4 linked regions of the Oryctolagus cuniculus genome follow. The protein of the gene in region 3 interacts with the protein of the main gene of each other region in a biochemical or structural test. Links are inferred from orthologs where the notes say so. Each region holds a gene or a part of one and is shown on either strand. Other genes may lie near its edges.

What was found.
Region 1: the proteins of ARL2 (region 3) and UNC119 form a complex in vitro, tested with the Homo sapiens proteins (2 studies listed by BioGRID and IntAct, with this or other methods). The link is inferred for Oryctolagus cuniculus from reciprocal best matches to the Homo sapiens genes ARL2 and UNC119.
Region 2: the proteins of ARL2 (region 3) and PDE6D are reported together in a solved structure, tested with the Homo sapiens proteins (2 studies listed by BioGRID and IntAct, with this or other methods). The link is inferred for Oryctolagus cuniculus from reciprocal best matches to the Homo sapiens genes ARL2 and PDE6D.
Region 4: the proteins of ARL2 (region 3) and TBCD form a complex in vitro, tested with the Homo sapiens proteins (2 studies listed by BioGRID and IntAct). The link is inferred for Oryctolagus cuniculus from reciprocal best matches to the Homo sapiens genes ARL2 and TBCD.

The regions. Positions count from the first base shown.
Region 1 is NC_091448.1:44,061,433-44,068,857, reverse strand, and holds the start of UNC119 (protein unc-119 homolog A), read left to right. Parts: upstream 1-3,437; 5' UTR 3,438-3,515; coding exon 3,516-3,735; intron 3,736-5,771; exon of another isoform or gene 5,772-5,795; intron 5,796-6,979; coding exon 6,980-7,093; intron 7,094-7,425. Other genes in the region: PIGS (GPI transamidase component PIG-S), read left to right, coding at 1-75, 1,198-1,408, 1,743-2,018. UniProt on the Homo sapiens protein: Involved in synaptic functions in photoreceptor cells, the signal transduction in immune cells as a Src family kinase activator, endosome recycling, the uptake of bacteria and endocytosis, protein trafficking in sensory neurons and as lipid-binding chaperone with specificity for a diverse subset of myristoylated proteins.
Region 2 is NC_091434.1:7,548,071-7,555,349, forward strand, and holds the start of PDE6D (retinal rod rhodopsin-sensitive cGMP 3',5'-cyclic phosphodiesterase subunit delta), read left to right. Parts: upstream 1-2,864; 5' UTR 2,865-3,074; coding exon 3,075-3,124; exon of another isoform or gene 3,125-3,209; intron 3,210-7,279. UniProt on the Homo sapiens protein: Promotes the release of prenylated target proteins from cellular membranes. Modulates the activity of prenylated or palmitoylated Ras family members by regulating their subcellular location.
Region 3 is NC_091432.1:6,520,216-6,527,798, forward strand, and holds ARL2 (ADP-ribosylation factor-like protein 2), read right to left. Parts: upstream 4,622-7,583; 5' UTR 4,536-4,621; coding exon 4,388-4,535; intron 4,202-4,387; coding exon 3,982-4,201; intron 3,902-3,981; coding exon 3,739-3,901; intron 1,462-3,738; coding exon 1,381-1,461; intron 862-1,380; coding exon 727-861; 3' UTR 521-726; downstream 1-520. UniProt on the Homo sapiens protein: Small GTP-binding protein which cycles between an inactive GDP-bound and an active GTP-bound form, and the rate of cycling is regulated by guanine nucleotide exchange factors (GEF) and GTPase-activating proteins (GAP).
Region 4 is NC_091448.1:397,598-405,064, reverse strand, and holds the start of TBCD (tubulin-specific chaperone D), read left to right. Parts: upstream 1-2,456; 5' UTR 2,457-2,638; coding exon 2,639-2,822; intron 2,823-4,662; coding exon 4,663-4,713; intron 4,714-6,979; coding exon 6,980-7,077; intron 7,078-7,467. Other genes in the region: FN3K (fructosamine-3-kinase), read left to right, coding at 483-605, 1,151-1,489.

The sequences.
Region 1 (7,425 bases), on a different chromosome or scaffold from region 3:
CAATGGCTCCAGGCTACCAGTGAGAGTCGAGGTGGACATGGTACGAGTGATGGAGGTGTTCCTGGCGCAGTTGCGGTGAGGTCCTGGCTATCTACTTGGGGTGTCCTCTGTCTCCCTGATGACCTGAAGTTGGCCAGCTGCCCCCTGAGATCGTCTGCTGGGCTGCCGAGAAGGGGGCTGCCGAGAGCAGAGAAATCTCACTTGGCAGGAATGTCTTGGCTGTGTCTAGAGCCCCAGGGAAACTGAGAAAGGTTTCCAAGGAGCTCTGTGTCCTCCTCTTGAGGAGGATTAGCAGGTGACAAAACCTGTTTTAAGAAAAATAAGTTCATGTACTTCAGATCCCTGGGGTATGATTAGGGGTGCTTAAGAAGATAGCTGGCAATTCTTACGCGAACTGATCCACTGAGAGTGGCAGTCTGAAGTCCTGTGTTCTGAAGTTGTGTCTGGGCTCACCAGGAGAGTGTTCCGAGTGATTAGTAATGTCTGTCGTGGGTACAGCTTACAGAAGCACAGCACATGTGCCATGTCAAAGGTGGGCTTGCATCATCTCTTAACACCAAGTCCCACTGGCCCCATTTGTCCAAAGAGAGTAGAAAGAGTGAGGGAATTCAACGGAGTTGGTGTTAGAAATACTTTTATTATAGAACCTTTGTCCTTTGTTTTTCTTTCTTTTTCTTCTTTTTTTTTTTTTCCAGATTTATTTTGTCTATTTGAAAGGCCACAGTGGCTAGGGCTGGGTCAGGCTGAAGCCATGAGCCCAAGCTCCATCTGGGTCTCCCACATGGGTATTGGGTCCAAGTACTTGGGCCATCTTCCATTGCCTTCTTAGGGGCATTAGCAGAGAGCTGGATCAGAAATGGAGCAGCTAGGACTTGAACTGGCATCCATATGGGATGCCAGCATCACAGGTGTTGGCTTTATCCACTGCACCATGGAACTTTTTTTTTCCCACAAGATTTTGGAAATCTAATAAAGAAACAGTGGAAATGCAACATTCTGGTTGAAGCAGGGACTGGGGGCTCTGGATTGCTTGGCGTTGCTGCTCACCTTCCGAGACCCTGAGACACTTGCCACAACCCCTGTGGCTCTGGATACGACTGAAAATCATTGGCTTAGAGCAGGTATTACAGGAATCCTAGTCACAGCCTCCCACCTTCTGGTCTCAGCCACTTTGATCTTCTCTCCCTGTTTCTCCAGACTGCTTTTTGGGATTGCTCAGCCCCAGGTGCCTCCAAAATGCCTGCTTTCAGGGCCCAAGAGTGAAGGGCTGATGACATGGGAGCTAGACCGGCTGCTCTGGGCTCGATCGGTGGAGAACCTGGCCACAGCCACTACCACCCTCACGTCTCTGGCCCAGCTCCTGGGCAAGATCAGCAACATTGTCATCAAGGACGACGTGGCATCTGAGGTAAGCAGGCCTAGGATTGGAGTGGCCAGTGAGGCCCAGGGTGTGGCAAGACCAGAGAGCCAGCTGAGGCCTGGGATGAGTGTGGGCGTGCCACCCATGGTGCCCCTGGCTACCTGCAGACAGCCGTGCCAGCTCCCCAGCAGGAGTCACGATCGGAGAGAGGGTTCAAGCTGGACCTCAGAAAATAAGCCGCAGCCTTGTTAGCCTGACCTGCATAGATCCTTGGTGAACTCCAGGCCCCCTCCCTGATATACAGAAGGCCCAGTAAGGCCCAGTCCCCTTCCCCGCAATGGCCCAGGCCTTACTGCTAACCATCGTCCCCTCCCCTTCCTAGGTGTACAGGGCTGTAGCTGCAGTCCAGAAGGCAGCAGAAGAGTTAGCCTCTGGGCACCTGGCGTCTGCCTTCGTCGCCAGCCAGGAGGCTGTGACGTCCTCTGAGCGGGCCTTTTTTGACCCCTCGCTCCTCCACCTCCTCTATTTCCCCGATGACCAGAAGTTTGCCATCTACATCCCGCTCTTCCTCCCCATGGCCGTGCCCATCCTGCACTCCCTGGCCAAGATCTTCCTGGAGACCCGGAAAAACTGGAACAAATCTGAGAAGACAGACTGAGCAGGGCGGCATTTCAGCAGAAAGCCTCGCTTCTGGCCAAGGCGGGGAGGGTTCAACAGAGGCACGTGGATGGGGCTTCGGGGAGGGACTGACTGACTCTCCAGCAACCCAAGTACACCACTCCAAGATGGGCTCATCTTCCCTCCGCTCCCCAGTCCCTTGGCTCAGGTCCCTTCCCTACCTCCTTATCTGACTTGAAGGCCTCTGCCTGTCTCCCTGGAGGCGGGGGCAGCTCGCCTCTGCATAAAGCAGGGGAAAACCCTGGATTAGATTCTAGCCTGTTCCCCTGCGTTTCTCTCTGACCGCAGCAGAGGAGAGCGGTAGCGTTGCTGTCACGGACAGGGTATGGCACAGGTCACCTCCAGGATCTTCTGCCTGATTCCTCTCCCTTCTGGCTGACTTGTTGGGTACAGCCTGACCGGAGCCCAGGATCTGGTGCTGTGTGTAGCAGTTTCCCTTCATGCTTGCCGAGAGGCAGTGTGGTAAGTTCTAGACTCGGAATCAAACAGGCCTGAATTCATATCCTCGCTTCTGCAGTATTGTTTGGGGAGCTTTGGATAAGCCACTTAATCTCTCTGAGCCTGTTTTCCGTTTGTTCAAATGACACTGATGATACCTCCCTTCCAGGGCGGCTGTGAGGATTAAATGTGATAAGCACGTGAAAGTGTTTGCGCTCCGTTTGGCTCTTAGTACATAGTGAGTTTACTAGAAGTGGGAGCATGACTGTCGCTCTTTCTTCCTCCATGTCTAAAGGTTTTCTGATAAAGTACTCCTGCGCTCACAGGCCCACCTTGCCTCCACACGGCCATGTGCTCTTCCTGTCTCCAGGAAGTCCTGGAACAGCTCCTGCCTTTTAGTACCGTGTCTTGGAAAGAATAGCTTGTGCCAGTGTAAGCCCTCGGATACTCTTTCATCAGTTTGAAGAAAAAAAAAAAAAATGTTTTGAGCTGCCAAGAGCACTGTGCTAGGCGCTGGGGTATACAACAAAGCAGACAGGATCTCTGCTTTCACGGAGCAGGCCTGTCAGGGGCAAGAGTCTGAACACATAAAAATAATTTCATAGTGCTTTAGAAAGAAAAAACACCAGACTGATCAGATAGTGACTGGGGGAGGGAGGCCTTAGAGGCGATGACATTTGAGCAGAGTGACACCAGAAGGCTGGGATGAGAGCAGCAGTGGAAAAGGATCCCAGGCGAAGGCCCTGGGACTGGAACTCGCCAGAAGGGCAGAAAGACTGGGACACAGCAGGTAAGAGCACTTAGGACCTCCAATACTTCTGAAAAAGTACTCAAAAATGAACAAAATCCAGGGCAGCCCCCGTCCGCCCTAGGTCGTCCAGCCCTGGTGGGCGTGGCCCCACCGGGCCCGCCCTGGGGGCGGGGCGGTACCTGGGGCCCCGGCCGGGGGCGGGGCTGCGGACGCTCCCCCTTCCCCTGGCTCCAGCCAGCGCAGGCAGCGGCGGCGGCGGCAGCAGGCGAGCTGCGGCCCCGCGAGGCCATGAAGGTGAAGAAGGGCGGCGGCGGGGCCGGGACGGGGGCGGAGCCCGCTCCGGGGTCCTCGGGCCCGAGCCTGGAGCCCACGCTGGATCCGCGGGCTGAATCCGAATCCGGGTCCGAGTCGGAGCCAGAGGCAGGCCCGGGGCCCAGGCCGGGGCCGCTGCAGAGGAAGCAGCCCATCGGGCCGGAGGACGTGCTGGGGCTGCAGCGGATCACGGGCGGTGAGCGCCGGCGAGGGAGCGCCGCCCGCGGGCGGGAGGGAGAGCGAGCCGGGAGGGGGCCTGCAAGGCGCGCTGAGCCCCGGCCCCCGCCCCCTTTCTCGCCTCCCCTCCCCCACCAGGCCCCTCGCCTGTGTCCCCTACTCTACTCCTCTCCCTTCTGCCTGCAAGCCTGAGATCTCTGGGTTCCCCTTCCCTTGATCTCTCGGTACGCTCCCCCTCTTTTCTCTGGAGGTTTATTTCTAACCCATTTCTTCCCCTTTGAGAGTCTGTCGCTTTTTTTGGTGGAGGTGGGGCAGCATCTGCAACAGGGAGTCTTGGGGCTGGGAGGCCCGTCCGCACCAATGAGGGGGGTCACGTGCAGGGTGTCCGCCCACGCTGGGGGCCAGGGGGAGGCTGTTCCTGAGCCCACAAGACCCTCGGGTCTCCCTGAGCATTGGTGCCCCCATCCCATCTTCATCCCCAGGAGGGAACGAGCAGGAAGCGTCATTGCGCTGGCTGTGGGCCCTGTCATGGGAGCGGGTTAATGCCCCCCAAGCCTGTCCTCTCTGATCCCTTCCACCGTGGGTAGGAGTTTCTGAGTGTAATTGACTGGGTGACCTTGGACAAGTAGCTACACTTCCCTGAGCATGTTTCTTCATCTGTAAATTGGGGATACTGACACCGACTTCATCAGGTTGCTCTGAAAATAAAGAGCCGTCTGAATCTGAGCTCTGCTTGCACTATAAATAGGGCTCCTTTATCCATGCGTTGAGGGCCCCTCAGGGCTGCCCCTGGCTTCTGGGAGGCAGACAACTGGGCATGCAGGGCAGGGGAGAGGGCCACTCTAGGCAGAGGACAAGGGCCAGGACGCCTCCTGGCAGAGGCCACGGCTCAGCCTTGCAGAGACCATGGCCCTCCACATGGGATCGTTCAGCAGCAGCCCGGCCTGGCCCCCTTTGTGAGCAGCTCTGGGGCCTCTGTGTGGGGATGGGAGGCAGGCACTGGAGTGGACGTGAGCCCTGAGCTGCAGGAGCTGCAGGGCTGTGGAGGGACCCTGGTGGCAGGCCTGAGCATGCCTCTGGCTCCCTGGGGACCCCGCTCCCTCTGAGCTAAGCAGCGGGCATTCTTGTCTGGGCCCCCAGCGCGTGGAGCTCTCGTTCCTGTGGGTATTGAAGGTGGGAGAGGGCTGGAGCAGGCTGATGCTGGTGATGATTGGGCTGCGGTTTGCAGCAACAGCACCCAGTTCCAGCTTAGCTCTGGGACAGACTCCCTTATAGAAAATCGGAGGTCAGGCCGACCTGAGGCCCGGGCAACTTCTGGGGTTTGTTTTGTAACCATAGGAGGCTTCCAGCGCAGGTACTCCCATGTGTCTCCTAATTTGGAGGAAATGTCACAGCCCCGAGAGAAGGGGCATCCGTGGGCAGTGCAGCGGGCAGGTGTTCACTGGAGCCCTCCCTGTGCTGATCAGGAGCTACGTGCCGGTCTCTCCACCCTGCAGCCCTGGGATGGTCTCTTCTGACCCTAATCACACAGGTCTGAGGTTTGCTGTTCCAGGATTACCAGGCCCTGAATCCAGCTTAGGGAGCTATTTGTGGCTGAGGGGAAGGGAACAGTTGTGTTCCGAGCCCTAGGCCATCGTGACCCTGGGCCCCGGGCTGCATCCTCCCCTGGCAGAGGGAGGGAGCAGCCCCTGTTCCACGCTTCCTCTGCAACAGAGGGGTTGGCAGGTCGAGTCTGCAGTAGAAGAGACTGGGGCCAGGCTGCCAGAGGTTGCTCTCGAGCAAGTGGAGAGGCCCGGAGAGGTGGAAGATGAGGGAAGAGAGGGCTTCCTGGGGAGCTGGGAATTGGCTCCCAGGATCCCACTCCCAGCTCTGCCACCTCCCTTCCCTGTGGCCTGCACCGTCTCTCCATGAGGGCTCCCCATGGAGTTCATGGAAATAAGTATGATGGAGTCGCTGTGCATGGATGTCAGACTTCCAGTGCACCCAAGTAAACATTTGATTCCATTTTCCCATGGCCTTTTGAAGTACCCTTGTATACCTTGGGACTAGTGCTTACTTTCTATGAAAATCAGCATGGAGGTAAGAGTTACCCACGCCCATTCCCCCTCCTTTCCCCACCATGGGGCAGTGCTGGGCCCCATGGTCCCAAATGGCTGCCAGGGGGCTTCCTGGAGGGGGTTACCCCAGGCAAGGAGAAGAGGCAGACCTGGGGAAGAGAGAATGACTGTGTTCCCTTCCTCTTCCTGCCCTAGAGGAATAGGAGGTGACCCAGGGGCCTGGAGGGTAGTTTGCAGGCCTCTCGGGGCCACCAGGGGAGGGTGTGGTGCTGTACGGGATGGCAGCATGGGAGCCCCCCTGCACCGCTCTGCTCCTTCCTGTTCATCGGCCCCCTGAGCACCTGCAGTTGGTCAGCAAGAGCAGTGAGGGTTAGATCAGGCCCTGTATGTTCCTGAGCTTCCTCAAGCAGGGCCTGTCTCTGTTCCTGGTTCCCCTTAACCTCACCCACACCCTCTTCCTGGCCTAGACTCTCCTGTCCTCTGTGGGGTCTGGGGGTGCTTTCCCTGTGGCAAGGGGCTCAGATGGGTGGATGGGTGACGTCTCAGGGTCTTCCCTCTGTTTGCTAAGACTTCCTCCTGTTTGGAGAGCAACAGGGGATGGGAGCAAAGTTGGCTCCCTTTCCCCCAGTATCCTAGGCTCTGGGCTTGAGTCAGCAGAGCTTTGGCTAAGCTGCTTAAGAGAGCTGGGCTTGGATAAGCCGCTTATCGGAAGAGAAGGGGGGCTGGGAGAGAAGAAGAACAGAGAAAGGGTTTTGTACCTGCCTTGGCACCCCCCATTGTCAGTGAAAGTCAAATCACAACCATCCTTGCCTGACATATCTGGATGTGGTGGTGCCAGAGGTGGCCATGGACAGGGCTGTGTCGCCCCTTTTAGAGTGGAGTTCCCGAAGGTGGGGCTGTGTCTTCCCTCTTGGACCAGGGGCTCCCACTGGACTGGGCCCATTTGGCACAAAGGCATCCAGCCAGCCTGGCAGAGCTGAGGCTGAGATCTGGACCCTCAACTCCAGGGTGGAGGGGAGAGTGGGGGAAGGGCCCTGACTGTCCCTGATCCGCTGAGGCCAGTAGGATGGGGCTCTTCTTCCAGCTTAGGTCTCCGAGGCAGAGTTCTGTCTCTTCCAGGAGAAAGAGGTAGCTAATCCAGGCACCCACAAACTGGCAGCAGGGCTTTGGGGACCCATTGGTTGCTCAGCTGCCTGTCTCCCCTAGACTACCTGTGCTCCCCCGAGGAGAATATCTACAAGATCGACTTCGTCAGGTTCAAGATTCGGGACATGGACTCAGGCACTGTCCTCTTTGAAATCAAGAAGCCCCCAGCCTCAGGTGAGCAGGCCAGGTGGGCTGCTAAGAGGGGGAGGCAGGCAGGCACTGCAGAGAGCTCTGCCCAGCGACTTCTTGGGCTTCAAAGGAGTCGGAGTAGAGTTGAGGCTCGGATGCCAGGATCGTCCAGGATTTGCAGGCAGCCGGGCCTGTTTTCCTTGCCATACGTTTCTGGACTTGGACGTCTTGCCCCTTCAATCCCTGCCAGCCTGCCCTCTGCAGGCCTTTTTGGGAACTGCAGGCGGCTGCACCCTGCAGTCCACAGAACCTCATTTGAAATCTGACCTAGAACCCGCAAGTGGTATCATCATTTGACCAATGGTTCTAACCCTCCA
Region 2 (7,279 bases), on a different chromosome or scaffold from region 3:
ACGTTAAGCCACACAAACTGTAAGACTTGGTGATCAGTTGAACTCAGGGAGAAGGAAGGAGGATGTGCCCCAGGATTCTGGCCTGGGCGGCCAGGGCTACCTGGAGGTGCTAAGTGAACAAAGTACGTGGTGGAGAAGGGGCAACACTTGGGGGTGGGAAGAAGGCAACTGAGTCCAGTGTGAGCTCTCAAATGTCCCAGCGAAGCCTCTGCTTCCTCCAGAGTGATGTCCAGGCTCCGAGGCTCCAGGCAAAGCCCTTCCTGGGGTCCTCCCTCCTACCCCTCCCAGCTGTTCCTTGCGCCACCCTCCTCCCAGCCCAAGCTCCAGGCCTTTACCTCCCCTGACCACACCAGCCTGTGCTCGGGCTCGTTCTCTGTTCTTTGCAATGCTTTTCTCTTATATTTGGGTGTAAAAATCCTACCAACTCCACAGACAACAACTTCTTAAATTCATGCAAAAAGCACTGAGTTTTGCACTACATTAAAGCCATGAATTTCTGTTTGAAAAGAGAGTGAAAAGACGAGGCACAGTCTTGGGAAAGATACAAAGACTGGAAGCGTGTAGACAACTGGGTTCTTACCCAGACTATGTAAAGAACCACAAATTAATAGGAAGACAAACAGCCCAATCTGTGAAAAGCAGGCACTTCACAAGAGAAGACATTCAGGTAGCAATAAGCAAATGAAAAGGTGCTTAATCTCAGGAAAGGTGTGACTAATGCCAACAAGAGTGACAGCAAACACTCTGGGTTGACAGGGATCAGAGGCAACCATAACCCTCCCACGTTGCTGGTGCAGGCACAAAACTGTTACAACCGCTTTGGAAAACTGGCAGTATCTGCTATCAGTGGGGACGCACGTAGCCTGCAGGCCAGCAGCTCTTCCAGGAAAGCAGACAAACATCCACAAAGAGAAGCCAGAATGCTCACTGCAGCTTTAAAATAGCCACAAAAAGGATGAGAACCCAAATGCCCTCCAACAGTAGAATAAACTGTGGTATACAGTGTGTGTGTGTGTGTGTATTCAATGGAATACTACTCAAAAAAAAGGACACAACAAGGATGAATCTCACAAAAATACTGATGAACAAAACAAACCAGACACATATTGTCCATACTGTATGATTATATTTAAAGTGGAACTCAAGAGCCGATGAAACTGATCTACAGAAATAAAGCCAGAAGCATTGCTTTTCTCCGGATGGCAGGATGCAATACTGATTGCAAACTGGCAGAAGGCATGGCTGGAAATCTTCCATGTTTTGATTTGGAGGATGACAACAGGGGTTTTCACATACGTGAAAAGTGTTCCCTTACCATATGTAATATTCTATCTCATTAACAAAATATTTTTAGATAAAATTTTTAACAGAAAATCCTACCCATCCCTCAAGCTCAAAGGCCACCTCCTCCATCAACTTTGGCCAGCTATAATCAATCTCTCCACCAGAGCCCCCCGTGGCATACTGCTGTCACCTTGATGCCCTTTGTCACGCTCCATCCTGATTCTCAGTGGAGTCTCCCTAACTCAAATAGACGGTCATCTTTGTGGAGGCGGGGACCATGTCTTCTACCCACTAAGTGCCCGACAAATCACAGAAGCAGAAAGCACGTTTGTTGAATTACCCAGAAGGAAAAGCTGAGTGCAGAGGGTGACAAGCTGGTGAAAAGCTGGGTGCAGAGGGGGACGAGAGGAAGAAAGTCCTAGGAAAACACACAGAGCATCTCCCAGCAAGCCCGGGCTCACCCTGCGATTTTACCCACTTCCTGAAATCACATCAAATGTCACCTTGAGTGACAAAGAAAGAACAAATCAAAAGACCAAGTCCTACCAAAACAAATATCACACACTTCCTCATCTGCCAGAAATCCACCGAATAAATGCTTTACCCAACCTCTGGGTGTTCCAACCTTGGATGGGCAAACTACTCAACAAGGCGGGCAGTAATCGCACTGCCATACTGCTAAAAATATCACCTCCCAGGCTGCGGGCGACAGACTCGGGGCCGAATCCTAACTCTGCCCCAACTTGCAGTGACCTGAGGCCGGTCTCTCGCCTCTCTGGGCCTCAATTCCCTCGCACGTAAAAACAGCAGGGGCAGGATTAGCAAATTCTTTCAAGCACCTTCCCGTATTGACAGAGCACACAATCGATAGCTCTCCTGGTCCGAGGCAGGAACACACCAGAGGTCCCCGCAAAACACGCAAACGGCGCCCCCGTCCAACAAACAAGCACGGTTTGAAGAAGTCGTTTTGTTACATTCTTTCGTGGTTTAATCAGTGTTTTTGTTGTTTGCAACCTTACCATGATTTGCAGGCGATTTCTGAGTTCCATGTAAACAGAAGTTAATTCTCTGTGGGCTGTCATCGTCTTTCACCGGGCCACAGGGTCTTCCCGCCTGGTTTTCAGTCTCGGGATGCAGAAACCACCGACCTTGCCGGCAGGTTTACGAATTTGCGCACACTGCGCGGCACACTGGAGCCTAAGTTACAGAGCCTCGGGACGCGACGAATGCTGGGATTTGTAGTCCCTGGGCCTCTCTGCTGCGTGCTGGGATCTGTGGTCCCCTGGCGCTCTACTGGAATTCTGGGAAATGTAGTCCTCTGCCCCTTCGCACAATGCAACCTGCGGTCGTCTCAGGAGACTAGTGAGCCCAGCAGCAGGAGCAGGCCCCTAGAGCCTCTGCAGATGTCAAGCCAAGCCCCCACTGGGGCTAACTCTAGGCAACAACACCCAGTGAAAATTTTGTCCTATGGGACTTCTCGGGGAGGGCGCTTCCCATGGATGCTCTTCGTCCCCCTGCGAAGCCGCTGAGCGTTGCTATTGGCTGGTGAGAATGCCAATCGCCGAGGCGGGCTTTCCATTGGCTTAGGGGCGGGCGCTCCGAGACCAGAGGGAAGGAGAAGGATCAGGAGCGGGAGCTGAGGGGAGGGAGAGGCCGGTCCGGGTCTGGCCGCTGCCTCTGCTTGCCCGAGGTCTCCAGGCCGGGCTGCGGCTCTGTGCTCGCTTCCTGGGCACGGTCCGCGAGGCTCCGCAGGGCAGCGTGAGAGAGCCGCGGGCGGCGGCCGCCGCAACATGTCAGCCAAGGACGAGCGGGCCAGGGAGATCCTGAGAGGCTTCAAACTGTATCCGCCCGGGAGCGGGGAGGGGCCGGGAGGACTTGGGAGGCGGTCGCTCCCTGAGGAGACCGGCCGGGGACTGGGGCGCCAGGTGGGCCCCCGAGGAGAGGGGCAGCGAGGGGGGACAGGAAGGGGCCGAGGTCCCAGGCCCCGGCGCCACGGGGCGCGGGAGGCGGGCACGGGGGCGTCCTGAGGGCGGAGGGGGACGTTGGCGGGAGCCGCGGGCACGGGGGCGAAGGAGCCCCGGGGCCTGGGCTGCGAGGGGCGCCGGGCGCCGGCGAGGGGTGTCGGGAAGCGGGCTGGGCTCGGAGCTGCGGCCGGGAGGGGCCGCGGCCCGCCGGGGAGGGCTGAGGGGGCGCGGCGGGCTGGCCTCGAAGCCCGGCGGCGTCTTTGGCGGGAAGCCCGCCCGGGGGAGCAGAGAAGTGACTGGGAGTGAACGACCTTGCGTGGGACCAGCGCCGATGCCTGGCATTAAATACTCTCGCCCCCCCCCCTCCACGCCTCACCCCGCCTCACCCCGTCTGGTTGCCACAACTTCTTCTGCTCACTTGTGGCTTCCAGGGCTGGAGTAGCAGAGGGCGGTGGGGGGGCGGGCGCCGCTCGCCTCTCGGCCCCTCGGGTCTTCCCTGCAGCCCGGCGAGGACGCGGAGCTCGCGGGTGGTGGGATGCCTCCAGGTGCCTTGGCCGGGGTGCCTTAGGGGTGCCTGCCGCCGGGTCGTGGCGGAGCTGTCCAGCAAGGGTTGGCTTGCGCTGGGGACCCGGTCAGGTGTGAAGTCCCTGCCTCGGGCCTGGGTGGAGCCGGTAGTTAGAGAGCTTTGTGTTTTCGTGGAGGGTTAGTCTGGCCAATGTGATCTTGCATATTCCAATTTTACATTCTCCTACTGACCTTAATCTCTTCTTAGCACCCTATCCGTTCAGTGAGGAACATTCTTAAATATCGCTTTGGGTGAAAATACCGGCATCGCTTTGGGGCCCCTCCCCTGGGTGCTTAGCAAAGCACTGTTCTCTGACCCCCACCTGTCGGGTTGTCACAGTGCCCATTTCACCCCTACACATTTGAATTATTTTGTCATAGCCAGAAACCAAGTTGGTAGTAGAACACAGTGCGAGAAGAGGGTCAGGAGGTTTGGGATGTACAGATGAAAATCTCCAGTGGAATCCTGTTAGGCTTGTTTAAAAACCCAAGGCTGTGTTAGCCTTGCAGACTTCATCCGTGCTCAGCTTTCAGTACTTTCATGTGGTGGAGTTTAGGAACAACCTCTCAAAGCTCCATGTTCCCTTCTGGGTTTCTCTTCATAATGGAGCCTCGACAGGGATAGGCATAGCTCAAGTGTTCGGAGAGCTATGACATGGATTTTATTTTTTCTCTTGCATACTTTATACTTAACATATGTGTTGCAGACAGTAAACCAGAGAATTTGAGATTTTGGATTGCAATTAATGTATTTCTGAAAACCCGGAAGGTGGCTTTTGAGCAAGGCAGAAAAGGAATGCTTGAGCTTCTCACCATTCGTTCAGTCTTGGCTCTTGAACTTGTTGAGAAAGAAGCGGAGGACAAATATGAAAGAGTAGAGAGCAGGAGGTGTCAGCCCACTGGCAGGAATGGGGAATTAACCAGTTCAGCCGTGATGTTGCTGCGTCGACAAACAGGCTTTCAGGGAAAGTTTGAGTGGAGCTAAGTAAGCCCTGAGACAGGAGAGCAGCCGCATAAAGTTGGGAAGCAGTGAAGTGAGAGTGCTGGTCCTCCGTGTCCTTTACTGGCATCTGAGGATTAAGAGAGAAAAGGAAAGCAAGAACCATAGGATTTGCTGCCTTGGAATTCTAGCTTTACATTCCTGACCCCATATCCCTGCACAACTTCTGTAACCTCTACCTCAGTTTTCTCATGTAAAAATAAGAATAATAATACCTGGTTGTGAGATGAAATGAATTGATCTCCAAAGTATTCAGAAAAGCACCTGGTGTAAGCATCGTGTGCTAGCTATTGTTGCGAGAGAAATTCCAGATCATTTCTCTTGCATTTTAGTATTGATCCTTTGCCTATGAAGTATGTTGCAAGTATTTTTTTCTCAATGTATTGCTTGTCCCCTTCTTTTGTTGAACAGGATTTTTAAATTATCATTCCAGATTTATTAGTATTTCCTTCTTCTGCATGTGGCATATCGTTTAAAGAGAACTTCTTTATCCCAAGATTAATCAAATAGCCTGTTTTCTTCTCTTTTCAATATTTAGCTCCTCAGCCTAACTGCAGGGTGTTTACATGTGTGTGGTGGAGATCTAATCATTGCTTCCATAGTCGTCCCAGGACTATTCACTAAATAGCTGCTCTGTCCTTTCCTCACTGTTTTGAAATGCCATCTTTGTCTTATAGAAAGTTTCTATAAGAAATGGATTTTCTTTTTAGAATATTTCTATTTCATTGATCCATCTGTGCACATTTAGTTTAATTACTATAGTTTTATAGTATGACTTAGTATAGTCCGCAGAAGGATTGGCATTTCATGAACAGAGTACATGTGTTTAAAGTCATTGTAAAGGCCCCATAAATATTTGTGTTCCTTTTATTCACACAGAACATTGCCCATCTGTCCATTATACAAGTAGAAACCAAATAAATGTGAATTACAAATTACATAAATCAGATATGGTCAGAGAAAATTTAGTGTAAGCTTTTTTATTTGCCTTGTTATTTCAAAAATAAAATATTTGTAAGATTTCCATGTCATCTACACCCCACCATTTTTTAACTGACACTCATTATCTGTGTTTCTTTTCTGTTTGTTAAAAGTACAACATTTCCTAGCTGTAAATTAAAACCATGAGTGAAATATGACTTGGGGGACAAATGTAATTCTCCTACAAAGGTTTTGGGTTTGGTTATTTTAAGCAGCTTCAGTTGTTATTTGTAATCCCACATTCTCCGTATCATTCACTCAACAAAGGTGTCTGTTAAGAAGAGAGTACTGTGTATTTGAAGAATACAAAAATGAATTCATTTCATTTTTATGCAGACTATTTTTTCATTTTTATGCAGACTATTTTTATGTCTGGTTAGAGGAGATACCTTAAAAAGCAGTGTATTTTGGAAAATAGTTTTTAATTTTTCTATTATAAACTACCTAGAAAATGACCTTTCTTAACATTTTAATATAGCCTAATATGGCTAATGTTTAAAGCTTTTATTAAAATGGGATTATGAGTATTATTTTGTAACATACTTTTTAATGTAATAAATTACCATGTTCATAATTTCTGAGATAGTTATTTCCAATTTATTATTATTTATTTGACAGAGTTATAGACACATAGAGGGAGAGAAAGAGAGAAAAGCCTTCCATCCACTAGTTCTCTCCCCAGATAGCCGGAGCTGGGCCAGCCCGAAGCTAGGAGCCAGGAGCTTCTTCTGGGTCTCCTACATCAGGCAGGGGCCCAATCACTTGGGCCATCCTCCACTGCTTTCCTAGGCCATAAGCAGATAGATAGCTGGAATGGAAGAGGAGCACCCAAAATATGACCTAGTGTCCATATGGAGTGCCAGCGTCACAGGTGGAAGCCCAGCTCACTACACCACAGTGCCAGCCCCTCCAATTGTTTTCAGTGACATAGATGTGCCATATTACTCCTTTTTAAATTCATTTATTTATTTATTCATTCATTCATGTAAAAGAGTTACAAAGAGGGAGAGAGAGAGAGATCTATCCACTGGTTCATGCCCCAGATGGCTGCAATATCTGGGACTGAGCTACACTGAAGTCGGGAGCCAAGAGCTTCATCTGGGTCTCCCATGTGGGTGGCAGGGGCCCAAGCACTTGGGCCATCCTCTGCTGTTTTTCTCAGGCCATTAGCAGGGAGCTGAACTGGAAGTGGAGCAGCGGGGACACGAGCTGGTGCCCATATGAGATGCCAGCATCATAGGCGGCAGCTTTACCTGCTGTGTCACAGTGCCAGCCCCTGTCATATTACTCTTTTTTAAAAAGATTTTCTTTATTTATTTTAATTTTTTTAGATTTATTTATTTATTTGAAAGTCAGAGTTACACAGAGAGAGGAGAGGTAGAGAGAGAGGTCTTCTGTCCGGTGGTTCACTCCCCAGATGGCCACAAGGGTCGGAGCTGTGCCGATCAGGAGCCAGGAGCTTCTTCCAGGTCTCCTACACGGGTGC
Region 3 (7,583 bases):
AAGCTCCATAGCCTGTGAGAAGGCCTTAAACACCTCGCCTGATGTCCGTCTACACTGCAGTCCACGCCCCTGGCCTTTTGTGTCCCTGTGTGGGAGTCCCTCTGCCTGGACCTGCACTGCCGGCAGCTAGGCACGCTGTCCACTGCACACGGCTTCTTGGTGGCCACAGAGAACCGGAGGCTGAACTTCAACAGGCTGGGAGCCCTGGCCGGGGCCTGTGTCCCTTTTTCTAATCCATACCTAGGAGGGCTGCAGCTACCCTGTGACCCAGCCTCCCCTTCTCTGCCAAAACACATCCCCCCTCCCCCCGCCCCAGCTCCAGTGTCACCTCCTCCAGGAAGCCTGCCTGGACTCTCCCGGGTGGAGGTTCCACAGCCCCGTCCTGGGCTCCCACTCCCTGTGACACAGCAGCAGCCGACCTGCGGGCTGCCAACGGGCCTTTGCCTCTCTGTCCCCCGCTGGACTCGGGCATCCCAGGTGGCGTCCAGAGAGGTTGAATCAAGAAACGGCTGAGCTGGGCGCCGGGGCGAGGAGTGGTTTATTCTCAGAGCTGAGCACAGGGCGAGGCCCACGGCCTCAGTAGCAGCGGAGGGGCCTGTCCAGCCCCAGCCCTTCCTTTTGGGTGCGCAGCGGCGGGCCGGGTAGGGCCAGGGCAACAGACAGTCCGGTCTGGGCGGGGGTGGGGAGTGTGAGTTCTGCAGGTGGGGCGGGGGAGCGGGCAGCGGCTCAGTCGGCCGTGAAGATGCGGCTGGAGATGTCGTCCAGCAGCCAGTCCACGCCGCACAGCAGGTTCTCCCCGGTCACCGCGCTGCAGCCCTGGATGCACCAGTGGTGGCTGCGGATGGAGTCCAGCTCCAGGGCCTGGCGGGGCGGAAGTACCGGTGGGGGCAGCCCGGGTCTCCCCACCCAGGGAGCCGCCCAGGCCCTGGCAAGGGGCCCCCCCCCGGGGGGGAGAGCTCCCTGGGCAGTGCCACCCCCTGCTGCGGCGTCCGCCAGGTCCCAGGCATCCTGCTGGGGACCCCCCGCGCGTCCCCGCGCCCTCGTCCCCGCGTCCTCTGCTTCCGAGGCCTCGGACGCCCAGGAGAACCAAAGCTCAGACGCTCCACAGGCCCCCAAGGTCACACAGCCGGGCAAGGCAGAACCGGTTTCTAACCCGGCTTTCTCATCCCCGGGGTCAGGCGGTCCTGGCCAGCGAGAGCAGGGGGCCGCCGTGGCAAAGGGAGCTCCCCGGGGCGGAGGGCGCCGGGTGCCCGCCTGTGCGGTAACTAACAGGCCCTGGCGCCACCCCTACGCCTCACCTGCCACACAGCAGGGGCTCACAAATGCCACCCAACACCTGGCGAGACGCCCGCCTCCCTGTCCCGTGAGCCCCGCACTCACCTCGCGAATCGCATTGGAGGACAGCGCTCCCGGCAGGTCCTGCTTATTGGCAAAGATCAGGAGGGTCGCTCCGGCCAGTCGCTGCGGGGCAGAGAGGGGACGGGGCTCAAGGGCCGGCAGCCCCCTCCTCCACTGGCCCAGAGCGGCTGTGGGGGCGGGAGCGGCCCGGGTGGGAGGGGCAGCGGGCCCCTCACTCCCAGTTCCTGTTTCCTCTTTTGTAATCCAGGACAAGAGGATCCTGGGCCCCTCTGTGGTTCTGATGGTCTGACCTCCAGAGACCCCCGCAGACCCCAGGACAAGACCATCCTAGGGCCCTGTGGTTCCCATGGTCTGACCCGCAGAGACCCCGTGGACCCCCGAGGACAAGAGGATCCTGGTCCCCCCTTTGGTTCCGATGGTCTGACCCGCAGAGACCCCGCAGACCCCGGGACAAGACCATCCTGGCCCCCTCCGTGGTTCCGGTGGTCTGACCCGCAGAGACCCCGTGGACCCCCGGGACAAGACGATCCTGGCCCCCTCCGTGGTTCCGGTGGTCTGACCCGCAGAGACCCGGCAGACTCCGGGACAGAACAATCCTGGTCCCCCCTGTGGCTCCCATGGTCTGACCCGCAGAGACCCCGTGGACCCCCGGGACAAGACCATCCTTGGCCCCCCTGTGGTTCTGGTGGTCTGACCCACAGAGACCCCACAGACCCCAGGACAGAACGATCCTGCCCCCCCCCCCGTGGTTCCGGTGGTCTGACCTGCAGAGACCCCGCGACAAGACCATCCTTGGCCCTCTTTGTGGTTCCGATGGTCTGACCCACAGAGACCCCGCAGGCTGCCTTCCCCCTTCACGTGCCACTCCCAGCAGGCCTCACTCTGCCTCTGATTCCAGATATTTCCACCCGCGTCTTCCCCGGGCGTCCTCCACACCATCGCCCTCACCCTGTAGGCCTTGGCCTGTGGGGCGTGCGCTCAGAGTCTGCCGGCCATGATCTGTGCCCCCCCCCCCCAACATCTGCCTTTCCACTCCCCAGGAGCCCTGGCTCTCAGCTGCGTGCAGTGCGGCGCGAGGCTGAGTCCAACAGCAGGGACAGGACCGCCGTCCCCAGCCTTCCGCTCCTGGCTGACAGATGACCGGGTTACGGAAGATGTTCGCACCACGCGAGCTATGAAGGGGTGAGGGCTCCAGCTCCTCAACTCTTCTGTAAATCTACCGTTTTAAAGAAAACTGCTCGGGAGGCCGGCACTGGGTAAAGCTGCTGCCTGGGACGCCAGCATCCGGCGTGGGAGCGCTGGTTAGGGTCCCGGCTGCTCCGCTTCCGGTCCAGCCCCCTGCTAACGCGCCTGGGAAGGCAGCAGAGGATGGCCCAAGTGCTGGGGCTCCTGTCACCCACGCGGGAGGCCCGGATGGAGCTCCAGGCTCCCGGCTTCAGCCTGGCCCAGCTCCAACCACTGCAGCCATCTGGGAGTGAACCAGCGATGGAAGATCTTTCTCTCCGTCTCTCCCTCTCTTTCAAATAACATAAAGTAGATCTTTCTGCTTTCAAAGATCATCTCGGGATGTGGAAGTGAGCGGTTAGGTGGCTCTCCTGAGGGCACACAGTAGGGCGCCCCACCCCCGCCCCCCAGAGCCTCACTCGCTAAGCCCAGTCCTGTGGGTGACGTCATGCCTGCTTCAGGGCAGACGCTGAAGCTCAGAGGAGAAAACCGGCGGCCCTCGGGGGTCAGGAGCCCAGGTCGCAGTGCACAGAATGGCACCATGGGCCTCCCGTGGTGGGGTGCGGTGCAGGAACAGGTCTGTCCCAGGCGTCCCTCTGGGTGCCCGTGGAGAAAGGTGTCCACACACCCGACACATGTATTCACAGAGGAGGGCCGCCCCCGGCCAGCAGCCTCTCTCCACGCCCCACCAGCGCTGTGCGCATGCAGACACACCCCCAGCCCTCCCCGCCCCCCCCCCCCCCCCCGGCGTGCGCCTCCTCCACCAGCCCCTCGCGCACACCCCCCCACCCCCTCCCGGCCCCGGCGTGCACCTCCTCCACCAGCCCCTCGCGCACACCCCCCCACCCCCTCCCCGGCCCCGGCGTGCACCTCCTCCACCAGCCCCTCGTGCACACCCCCCCACCCCCTGCCCGGCCCCGGCGTGCACCTCCTCCACCAGCCCCTCGCGCACACCCCCCCACCCCCTCCCCCCCACCGGCGTGCACCTCCTCCACCAGCCCCTAGCGCACACCCCCCACCCCCTGCCCGGCCCCGGTGTGCACCTCCTCCACCAGCCCCTCGCGCACACCCCACCCCCTCCCCGGCCCCGGTGTGCACCTCCTCCACCAGCCCCTCGCGCACACCCCCCACCCCCTGCCCGGCCCCGGCGTGCACCTCCTCCACCAGCAGGCTCTGGAGCTCCCGCAGGCAGTCCTGCATGCGCTGGCGGTCAGCGCTGTCCACCACCCAGATGAGGCCATCGGTGCTCTCGAAGTAGTTCCGCCAGTAGGAGCGCAGGGACTTCTGGCCGCCCACGTCCCAGATGTTCAGCTTGAACCTGCGCAGGGGAGGGAGGCGGCAGCGGATGAGCCAGGCCCCTCTGCGGCTCCGGGCCCTGCCGGGGCCCTGCTCACCCACCCGCGGTGCTCCAGGGTCTTGATGTTGAAGCCCAGCGTGGGGGAGATGGTGTCCACGTCCTCCCCGTTGAACTTCTTGAGGATCGTGGTTTTGCCGGCATTGTCCAGGCCGCTGCGGCGCGCCCGGTTAAGGAAGTCCCCGCATCCCTGCGTCCCTGCGCCCCGAGGACCGACCGACCGCTCCCCGCCTGTGCCAAGATGAGTGGTGCCCACGCTGGCCCCTGAAAGGCGCGGCGGCATCAGGCATCTCCTCTGGCCGGGCCCTCCTCGGCGTGGGTCCTGGTGGACCAAGGCCACTCCCTCCCAGGCCCGCACTCTACTGGGGAGGACGCGAAGTGCCCTGAGCCAAGGCCCCAAATCCAAATAACCGGCTTTGCCAAGGCCCCGGGGGACAGCCACACTCTCACCTGCTTCTGGAATATTCCAAATGCATGCAAATGATGTGTGAATATTCCAAATGCATGCAAATGATGTGTGAATATTCCAAATACATGCAAATGAATGTGTGAATATTCCAAATACATGCAAATGAATGTGTGAATATTCCAAATGCATGCAAATGGATGTGTGAATATTCCAAATGCATGCAAATGGATGTGTGAATATTCCAAATGCATGCAAATGGATGTGTGAGCTCACAGCAGAGGAGTCATTCCCACAGCTCGGTGTACCTGGCAGAGCAAGGGGGCTGTGGCCGGGCAGGTCCCCGACTCAGCCGTCTCTCTCCCGACCTTGAGTGACCCAAGGCCACAAACTGGAGGTGAGGACAGCACCTCTGCTGAGCCCAGGCCCAGGCCCTGAAAATCAGCTGACGACCCCGCTGTGGCTCTCAGCCCCTCCCCCATCTCATTCCTCACTTCGGCTGCAGGCAGCTCCTGTCCACCCCCCTGCCTTCTCCCTCATCCTTGAACCACACCCACCAGCCTCTGGCTCCTGCTCGCCAAGGTGAGTCCCAGGGGCCCCCACCCCCAGCTCCTGGTCCTCCTCCAACCTCTGGCCTGCATACACTCCCTGGGCGGTGTCCTCCACAGACCCCCGACCTGCACCTGCCCACCTGCCCACCTGCCCTTCCCGGGAAGTCTGGGGCCTCTCTCAGGGGAGAACAGAACTCTGCCTCCCAGCCCCTGCGCTCCTCCCCGGCTCCTCCCAGCCTCGGCCAATGGCCCCTGGTCCTTGTAACTGCTCGCACCAGGAACCTGGCAGTCGGGCCTCACTTCCCCAACCTGACACCAGGGGCGGGGAGTGGGGCAGAACGTCCCCCCCCCCCTTTCAGGATCTCACCGCTCACACCGTGGCCCAAGCCACCAGTCTCTCTCCCCAACCTCAGCTCGTGCTCTGCACCCCTCACTGTCAGGAAGCAGAAGGCCCCAGGGGAGGCGGCTCTGGGGTCCCCTCTGGGCGCACCTGCTCCCTTTGCCCCCCCCAGCCCACCTCCCCCAGCTCTGCGTGTTCAGCTGTCACTCTGCGAGCCTGGTCCTCCGAGCACGGGCCACTCAGCACCCTGCTCCTCCCTGCATTACAGCGTTCCGCCACGCAGGGTCTGCTTTGCTGGGTTACCCCAGCCCCTAGGACGCTGGCGCGCACACAGTGGCGCTCAGCTCCCTGGGCCTTTCCCGGGGCTCTTTACACCCGACACAGATGCACGCATCAGGGTCTCCTCTCCCCAGCCAGGGCCTGCGAGCCCTCGGCCCGGGGACAGCAACGGGTGACCGCAGCAGAGACGGACGGTCGGACACAAGCGCGAAACGACCCGCGGCGTCCACGCCCCCGGCCGCGCGAGCTGAGGGCGGGGCCCGCTCGCCCCTGGGATTTCGAACTCGAGGGCGGGGTCGGGGCCCGGCACCCTCGGACAGGCCGCGGGGGGGTGGGAGGTCAGAGCCGGGGCGGCCAGGGGCCCCCAGCTCCGTCCCGCCCGACGGACGGCGACGTCCAGTCACCTCCGGGCCCCACCTCCCCCTTCCATTCGGGACGCCGTGTCCGGGCGCTTCGGCTTCAGGCCCGCACCTTGGGCCTTCGGAACGGAGCCCCCCGCCCCGAGCCAGTGGTACGGCCTCCTCGCGGCCCCCCGCCGGGAGCAATTGGTAGGGCCCACGTGCGTGACGCACAATGGGCAGTTGGGACGGGAGAGCGTCCGCGCACCCTGGCGCCGCCCACCCGGCAGGGCGCCCGCCACCCCGCGGCTCCGGCCCCCGGGAGGATACAGCATGAGCAGTCGCAGCTCCCGCTCTTTCTGCTTCATCTTCTTCAGAATGGTCAGAAGCCCCATAGTCCCGGAGCCCCCTCCCGGCTGCCGTCTCTTCCTAGTCCCGGGCCCCCGCTCCCTGATCCTATTGGCTATCACGCCCAACGACAGCGCAGCCTATTGGCTGCTGCCTCCCGTGGGCCCGCCCTCGCCCCACGTGACTGCCCGGCGGCCGGCGGGAGCCGCTGCGGCGGTGCGGGGGGGCTTCTGCGGCGCCGCCCGCCTTAACCCTTCGCGTCCCGGGGGCTGAGAGCGAAGTCCCCATCTTCCTCCGAGCACCCAAGGCCTCGGCCAGCCACGGGAACCGTTGCGTCTTGATGGGTCGGGGGTCAGAACCAAGAGCCCCGCGGGTGTTGAGCGTGGCCGGGGTCGCCAAAGGCCCTGTGTTAGGAAACACGGTGTGGATCCTGCCGTCCCCCCAGCCCCGCCGGTGTCGGAGGAGATAATGGGGCTTTCCTCTCCTCCGGCTCCGGTGGGAAGAGGACCCGTGCTTCTCCGGGGCGAAAGTGCCCCCTGGGGGCCATTTCGAGATGTGCGGGGCGGGGGGCTTCTTTGCATCTGAGCCCTGGTCATTTCGGGTCGGGGGCACAGCCCTGCCCCGAGGATCGTCTGGTTCCACCGAGGCCCTTGTCACAGGGGCTGGCGTGTGCTAGATGCTGACCGCGCGTGGCCACGCATGTGTCCCGGCTCTGCGCACTGCGGCCCCGAGGGGTTCATCTCCTTTTTTGTGGAGTCCAGAGAGTTTAAGGGTGAGGTTTGAACTCCGATCTAGCCGAAGGCGGCTGCGTGGAGTTCGCCTCGCCAGGGAGGGGTCTGGAAGGAGCTGGATTTTCCCGTCCTCGGGAGGTGGTTGCGGGCAGGTGGAGACGGCGGGGCGCCCGCGTGGGCGCCTGGGGTGGACCGCATTTTCCCTGCATCAGGCGCACACAGGGGAAGAAAAGGAGCGCGAAGGCTCTGACCCCAGCCGAGGCCAGAACAGGGAATGCCAAGGCCGCGGGACCCGCCTGGGGTCTGCCCTCACAGATGACCAGTGAGTTCGGAGCAGCCAGTGGGGGAGGTTGCCCAGGCCGTGGGGTAGAGTCCACGGAGGAGCCGGTGGAGGGGCGGGCAGGTGCTAAATGAGAAGTGCAAGTCCCAGTCCCATTCTGATTGAAAGAATACCCACGGAGCACGTCCCCGCCCCCGCCCCCGCCCGCCGTGGGTCGGGAGGCAGCGGCGCCTTGTCCTGCCGGAGGGTCAGTCAGCTCCTCCGTCCCCGAGGCTCCGGGCCCTGCAGGCAGCCTTCCTGGACGGCTTCACCGCCCAGCCTGGGTGCCAGGGCGGCCATCCTCTCTCCCCGCTGCCGGCCACACCCCAGCCCA
Region 4 (7,467 bases), on a different chromosome or scaffold from region 3:
TATCATGTGTTGTGCAGCATATGTGACCCCCGTTCATTGTGAAATGACTTTATGCTTGATGAGACTGTTTACTCTGAAATCGACTTTGCAGGTATGAAGGTTGCCACTCCAGCTTCCTTTACACTAGTTAACAGGGTCTCTTTTCTATCCTTGTAACCTCTGTCTGTTTATATATAAGTGCATTCCTGCACGCCACTTGTGGTTAAGTTCAGCTTTATTGTTCTGTCAATCCCTTTAGCGAGAGTATTTTTTGACATTTTTATGTGTTTGTTGATAGTTAGATTTGAGTGTATCTGTTGTTTATGTGTGTTGCCAGTTCTGTCTCCATTTTCCCCTTTAACTCCTTCCTTTGGAAGAGCTGAGTATGTGGCGACCCTGCCTCAGCCTGCTTGCTGGCCGGCCCTTGTCCCAGGGCCTGGGCGGATTGCATGCACTGTCCTGTGGCTACAGCGAGTAGCTCTGTCCTTGCTTCCGTTGCCCAGGTGAATGAGTGGCATGACGACTGGCCAACCTTTTTCACCCGGCACCGGCTCCAGGCACAGCTGGACCTCATCGAAAAAGACTATGCTGACCGAGAGGCACGAGAGCTGTGGTCGAGGTTACAGGTGGGCCCTGCGGCCACTTCTCTGGGAGAGAGGCTGTTCTCTCACCCCGGGAGAGCTGAGGGACTCTGTGCAGAGCTGGGGAAGTGGCGCACACATCAGGGGCCACTATGAGCCTGACAGGAACGGGACAGGGGTGGGATCCGAGGACCAACATGGCCCCCTGGGGTATTTAACCTGACCTCCTGCCTGTGGAGCCCAGGGGCACTGCCGTCCCCGTCTCCTGGTTACTGACAGCTGCCCACTCTTAGCCTCCGTTCCCCTCTGTCTTAGTGGGAATGTCTCACCCCAGGATGGGCCCCCGAGTCCCCCAGGGCCAGGTCTCAAAGCCTGACTCTGAAGTCCCGCTGTAGCCTATGGTGAACTGGCTCCTTGACCTCATGGATGAAGTGGCCAGCAGGGCGGAGAGGAGCAGTGACAGGGCAGTGGGGAGGGCTGTGTCCTCTGCTGCGGCCGCTGGTGCCAGGGAAGTGGGACGCGCACAGAGCGGAGAGGGGCTGCCTCCGGCCGCGTCCAGGCACTGGGCACGACGACCCTCCCTCTCGCAGGTGAAGATCCCGGCTCTGTTCTGCGGCCTGGAGGTGGTCCCCGCCCTGCTGCACGGTGACCTCTGGTCGGGGAACGCGGCGGAGGACGACGCGGGGCCGGTGGTCTTCGACCCGGCCTCCTTCTACGGCCACTCCGAGTTCGAGCTGGCCATCGCCCTGCTGTTCGGCGGCTTCCCCAGGGCCTTCTTCACCGCCTACCACCGCAAGGTGCCCAAGGCGCCGGGCTCCGAGCAGCGGCTGCTGCTCTACCAGCTCTTCAACCTCCTCAACCACTGGAACCATTTCGGGCGCAGTTACCGCTCGGCCGCGCTGGGCGCCATGCGCAGGCTGCTGGCATAACCGCGGGCCGGGATCCCCGCACCCTGCTGCGGCGCAGCTCGCCCGGTGGAGCCCTCCCGGGAACGGCCTCCGGGGGCGGCCCCGACGCGCGCTAACCCAGGGCAGCACCCCTTAGAGCGGCAGAAGGCGGGGTAAGGGGAGCAGGGGCGCAGATGGGACACCCGTCCCCTGCCGACCGCGCCGCCAGGGGTGTGCGCGGCCCACTGACCCTGCGTGGCTGACACGCGCACCTGGCCGCGCGCGGCCGCCTTCTCTCGAGGGACGAAGCTCCGGGCACGGCTTGCTCGCAGCAGGTGCATCCCTGGGACCCCAATTCTCCCCCCCCGGGGGCAGCAGCTCTGCCACTCACCGGGGGCCCCCAGATCGAGCTGAGGGCTCCCAGCCCCGGCTGTTGCGGGTATGTGGGGGGAGGGGTGAACCAGCGGACAGGGGCTCTCTTTCTCTCTTTAAAGGCCTTTCAAATAAATAAACCTTAAACATGAAAACCACCTCTGGGTGGGGGTCCATCGCGTGCTTCCTGCTCCGCCAGCGCTCACCTGGGCCTGGGGTCTCCAGGGGGAGGTGCTTTTCCCAGGGCCAGTGGGCGTCGGGCGCCCACGGCTCGCGCCGGACCGCAGTGCGGGGTGGCCCTGGCGCTTGGGACTGGAGGCGGTCATGGCCCCGCCCCGGCACCCAGGCCCCGCCCCACTCCAGGGCTCAGACCCCGCCCGGCCACGCCCTCAGGCCCCACCCAGTCGCTCGTCTGTCCTCAGACCACGCCCCAAACGAGCCCCGCCCAGGGCCCGCCCCCAGCATCAGCTCCGCCCCGGGCTCGCCCCTCCGCTGCCCGGGCCGGATCGGAGCGCGGTCTTTCCCCGCCGAACTGAGCCTGCGCGGAGACCCCGCCGCAGCTCCTCTTTGCCCGGAGCCCGACAGCGGCGAGCGACCCGGGACCAGAAAGCGACTTCTCGTTTTCGGCCGCCGTAAGCCTCGGCCCTCGCCGGACGGGCGCCACCTCCGCGCGCGCTGCCGCTATTTTGGCGACTCGCGCGTCCCGTAGCGAGGCCGGCTCCGGGGTCGGAGGCCGCTGGGTGGGGCCGGCGTGCGCGGGCGCCGCCTTCGCTCGCCTTTCTGCGCGCTCTCCTCAGCCGGCCGGGCCTCGCCGCCGCGATGGACCTGAGCAAGGAGCCGGTGGCCGGCGCCCGCGACGACGAGGTGGAGGAGGAGGCGCTGGCGTACGGCGCCGCGCTGGAGGCGTTCAGCGAGAGCGCCGAGGCCCGCGCGCTGCTCGGCGGGCTGCGGGAGGCGCACGGCGAGCGCGCGGCGCGGGAAGCGGCGGTGGAGCGGTTCCGCGGTGAGGCGGGGTGCGGTGCGCGGGCGCGGGGGACTTCAGCGTCTCGGGGCCCCTGCGGGGAGGGCGCACCCTGCCCTCCCTCCCGGCAGCCCCTGGAGAGGGCAGCGGGACCCTTGGGCAGGTGGCACGTGGGCTCCCGGCCCCGAGACGGACCCCACGGTGTGTGCGTGTGCCTTTGTGTGTGTGCCTGTGTGTGCACCTGTTGTACAGAGCGTGCGCATCTGGTGTGCAACGTGTGTGCTCCCACCTCTGTGTGTGCCCCCCTGTGTGTGCTCCCACCTGTGTGTGCTCCCACCTGTGTGTGCAACATGTGTGCTCCCCTGTGTGTGCTCCCACCTGTGTGTGTGCTCCCACCTGTGTGTATGCCTGTGTGTGGACCTGTTATACAGAGCGTGCGCATCTGGTGTGCAACGTGTGTGCTCCCCTGTGTGTGCTCCCACCTGTGTGTGCTCCCACCTGTGTGTGTGCCCCCCGTGTGTGCTCCCCTGTGTGTGCTCCCACCTGTGTGTATGCCTGTGTGTGCACCTGTTATACAGAGCGTGCGCATCTGGTGTGCAACGTGTGTGCTCCCCTGCATGTATGCACTTGGGTGTGCTCCTAGCTATGTGTGTGTGCCTGTGTTGTGCAACATGTGTGCTCCCCTGTGTGTGCTCCCCTGTGTGTGCTCCCACCTGTGTGTATGCCTGTGTGTGCTCCCCTGCGTGTGCCCCCCGTGTGTGCTCCCACCTGTGTGTATGCCTGTGTGTGCTCCCCTGCGTGTGCCCCCCTGTGTGTGCTCCCACCTGTGTGTATGTCTGTGTGTGCTCCCCTGCGTGTGCTCCCCTGTGTGTGCTCCCACCTGTGTGTGCCTGTGTTGTGCAACATGCGTGCTCCCCTGTGTGTGCCCCCCCGTGTGTGCTCCCACCTGTGTGTATACCTGTGTGTGCGCCTAGTGTGCGCCTGCAGTGTGTCCCACAGTGTGAGGACTGCAATGTGTAGATCAGTTGTGCAGACCAGGTGTGACCCTCAGCGTGTCGACTGCAGAGCACGTGTGGACCCGTGTGTGGACCACAGTTTGGGGACTGCTCGGCGGGGCCACGGGGTTGGACCAGGAGGAACTGGCTTGATGCCCAGCGTGGCTGTGGGCTGCTGAGACTTGGAGAAACGGGTGCGGTGTGGGATGACAGCCACAGTGTGAGTGGCTTCTTGGTCAGCCTGGTGGATGACTTCCAAGTGCGTCTGTAGGGCCTGGAGGTGCATGATGACCTAGAGCGTTTTCGCCACGCGCTTGTCCTCGGTTTGGAGAGGCAGTGCCCGGGCTTTAGGAGAGAGGCTGGGTGGTGTCCAGGTGGAGAGGCCACTGGCAGCAGCAGTCTGAATCCCGTCTGTCAGTTACCCGAATGCCTGGTGACTGATAACACCGCCTCACGTACAAACTGAGGGTGAGGCGGGCACCGGGCACCAGCGGGAGCCCGGCTTTTGCTCCTGGCAGGTGGGCGGCAGTGAGGAGTGCTCCTTGGATTGGACAGAAGCACCGCAGCTGGGGGCTGTGGGTCAGACTTTGCAGGGCTTTGAGGGAAGAGAGAGGGTGTGTGCCTGAGCGGGAGTGGGAGGGAAGGAAGGAACAAGGGAGAGACCCTGCTGGGGAGGAAGACTCAGGAGGCCGTGGGAGGAGAGGACCCCAGGAAAGGTGTGTGGAGCAGGGGGCCAGAGGGCAGTGGGGGTGCACACTCTGGGGGGCCTCTGTGGGTGTGCTCTTGGCCGCTGCCTGCGTTTAGCAAGGACGAGCAGGGTGGCTCCTGAGGTCCCTGTGCGCGTCTGGCTTAGTGGTGATTGACTTCTGTGTTCTTTTTCTTTTTAGTAATAATGAACAAATACCAGGAGCAGCCTCACCTGTTGGACCCACACCTTGGTGAGCATGGGAGCTGATGGTCCTGATGACCGAATGAATGACAGGTGGCCGTGAGACCTTGTGTGCTGCCGCGTGTGTGTGGCTGCAGAGGGTGGCGGGATGTAGTGCCAGTGCCTTTCAAATAAGTAAGATAAATCTTGAAGAAATAAAGAACACATCTTTTGGTTCTCCTACCCAAGTTTTAACCTGTTTGTGTCTGGTCACCTGCTATTGCTGGCAGGTCACACAGGGTCACGTGGTCACCGTTCAATCCTGCCAGCAGCTGAGGAGGCATCTGTGGTCATGTCTGCTGTAGAGAAGATGCTGAGACTTGTTTCTTACCTTAGTGTAAGGGTAGTGATTCTTAAAAAATTTATTTATTTGAAAGGCAGAACAACAGAGAGGGAAAGGGGGCAGACAGAGCAAGAGAGACAGCAAGCAAGCTATTTCACTTCCCAGATTCCTGTAACTGCCAGGGCTGGGCCAGGCTGACGCCAGGACGAGGAATTTCATCAAGGTCTTCCGTGTGGGTGGTAGGGACCCCCGCACTTGGGCCCTTATCTTCTGCCTTCCCAGGCATATTAGCAGAAAGCTGGATTGGAAGTGGGTAACTGGATCTTGAACTCAGGCACTCTGATATGGGATATGGGAGTAGCAAGTGTGGCTTAACCTGCTGTGTATAATGCTGGCCCCAACCCTTGCTTCTTTTTATATTTTATTTAAAAATAAATTTTAGAGATTTATTTTTTATTTATTTGAAAGGCAGAGTTACAGAGATGAGGAAAAGAAGGAGGAGAGAGACAGAGACAAAGACAAAAGATCTTCCATCTGCTGGTTCACTCCCCAAATGGCCACAATGGCCAAGGCTGGGCCAGGCTGAAGCCAGATCCTGGAGCTTCTTCTGGATCTTCCATGCGGGTGCAGGGGCCCAAGCACTTGGGCCATCCTCTGCTGCTTTTCCAGGCCATAAACAGAGCTGGATTGGAGAGCAGCTGGGACGCAAACTGGTACCCATATGGGACGCCAGTGCTGCAGGTGGATGCTTAGTCTACTTTGCCACGGTTCCAGCCCCCACGAATGTTGTTTATTGATCTGTGAAACTGTCTTTGTTATGTGTTCTGACTAGTTGCTGATGTCCCTACTGTGCCACAGGATTGCCCCAATTCTTCCATTTCTTTTTCTTTTCTTTTTTTTTTTTTTTTTGACAGGCAGAGTGGACAGTGAGAGAGAGAGAGACAGAGAGAAAGGTCTTCCTTTTACCGTTGGTTCACCCTCCAATGGCCGCCGCGGCCGGCGCGCTGCGGCCGGCGCACCGCGCTGATCCGATGGCAGGAGCCAGGAGCCAGGTGCTTTTCCTGGTCTCCCATGGGGTGTAGGGCCCAAGCACCTGGGCCATCCTCCACTGCACTCCCTGGCCACAACAGAGAGCTGGCCTGGAAGAGGGGCAACCGGGACAGAATCCGGCGCCCCGACCGGGACTAGAACCCGGTGTGCCGGCGCCGCTAGGCGGAGGATTAGCCTAGTGAGCCGCGGCGCCGGCCTCATTTCTTTTTTTTTTTTTTTAAAGATTTATTTTATTTATTTGAAAGTCAGTTACACAGAGAGAGAAGAGGCAGAGAGAGAGAGAGGTCTTCCGTCCAATGGGTCACTCCCCAGATGGCCGCAACGGCCGGAGCTGCACTGATCCGAAGCCAGGAGCCAGGAGCCTCTTCCAGGTCTCCCACACGGTGCAGGGGCCCAAGGACTTGGGCCATCTTCTACTGCTTTCCTAGGTCATAGCAGAGAGCTGGATTGGAAGTGGAGCAGCTGGGACTAGAACCGTCGCCCATATGGGATGCCGGTGCTTCAGGCCAGGGCGTTAACCCGGCCCCTCCCATTCTTCCATTTCTAAATAAACCCTTTTTATTTTGATATATAAACACTTATTTATTTTCATTTTTTATTTGAAAGGCATAGAGAGGGAGGAGAGACAGATCTTCCACTCCCTGGTTCACTCCACAGATACCCCCAGCAGCTGGGGCTGGAACAGGGCAGATCTGGGTGCCTGCAGCCCCCTCTGTGGGTGGCAGGTACCCAAGTGCTCAAGCCATTATCTGCCGCCTCCCAGGGTGCATTAGTAGGAAGCTGGATTGGAAGCAGAGCCGACCTGAACCCAGGCATGTTGACACCCAATACCGGTGTCCCAGTGGTGTCCTAACTGCTCTGCCAAATGCCCACACCTGTTTTGATACGTTGTTTTAACATCACACCGATACATTTAACAGTAAATGTTATTGTGCTTCCCTAGAATGGATGATGAACTTGCTGTTGGACATGGTGCAAGATAAGACATCTCCAGCTGCCCTGGTACACCTGGCTTTTAAATTTCTTTACATCATCACCAAGGTAACATTTATGTAGTGCTTTTGAGTTGTCACTTTTTTTTAACTTTATTTGAAAAGATTTATTTATTTATTTGAAAGGCAGAGTTATATAAAGAAAGGGAGAGACAGAAAAATCTTCCATCTGTTGGTTCACTCCCCAAATGCTGTAACAGCCAGGGCTGGGTCAGACCAAAGCCAGGAACCTGCAGCTCTCTCTGGGGTTCCCACGTGGGTGCAGGGGCCCAGGTATCTGGGCCATCTTCTGCTGCTTTGCCAGGCACATTAGCAGGGAGCTGGATTAGAAGGGAGCAGCCAGGACTTGAACCAGCGCTCATATGTGATTCTGGCTTCGCAGGGGATGGCTTAACCTAACCCTCTGTGCCACAGCGCTGGCCCTGTGAAGTTGTCACTT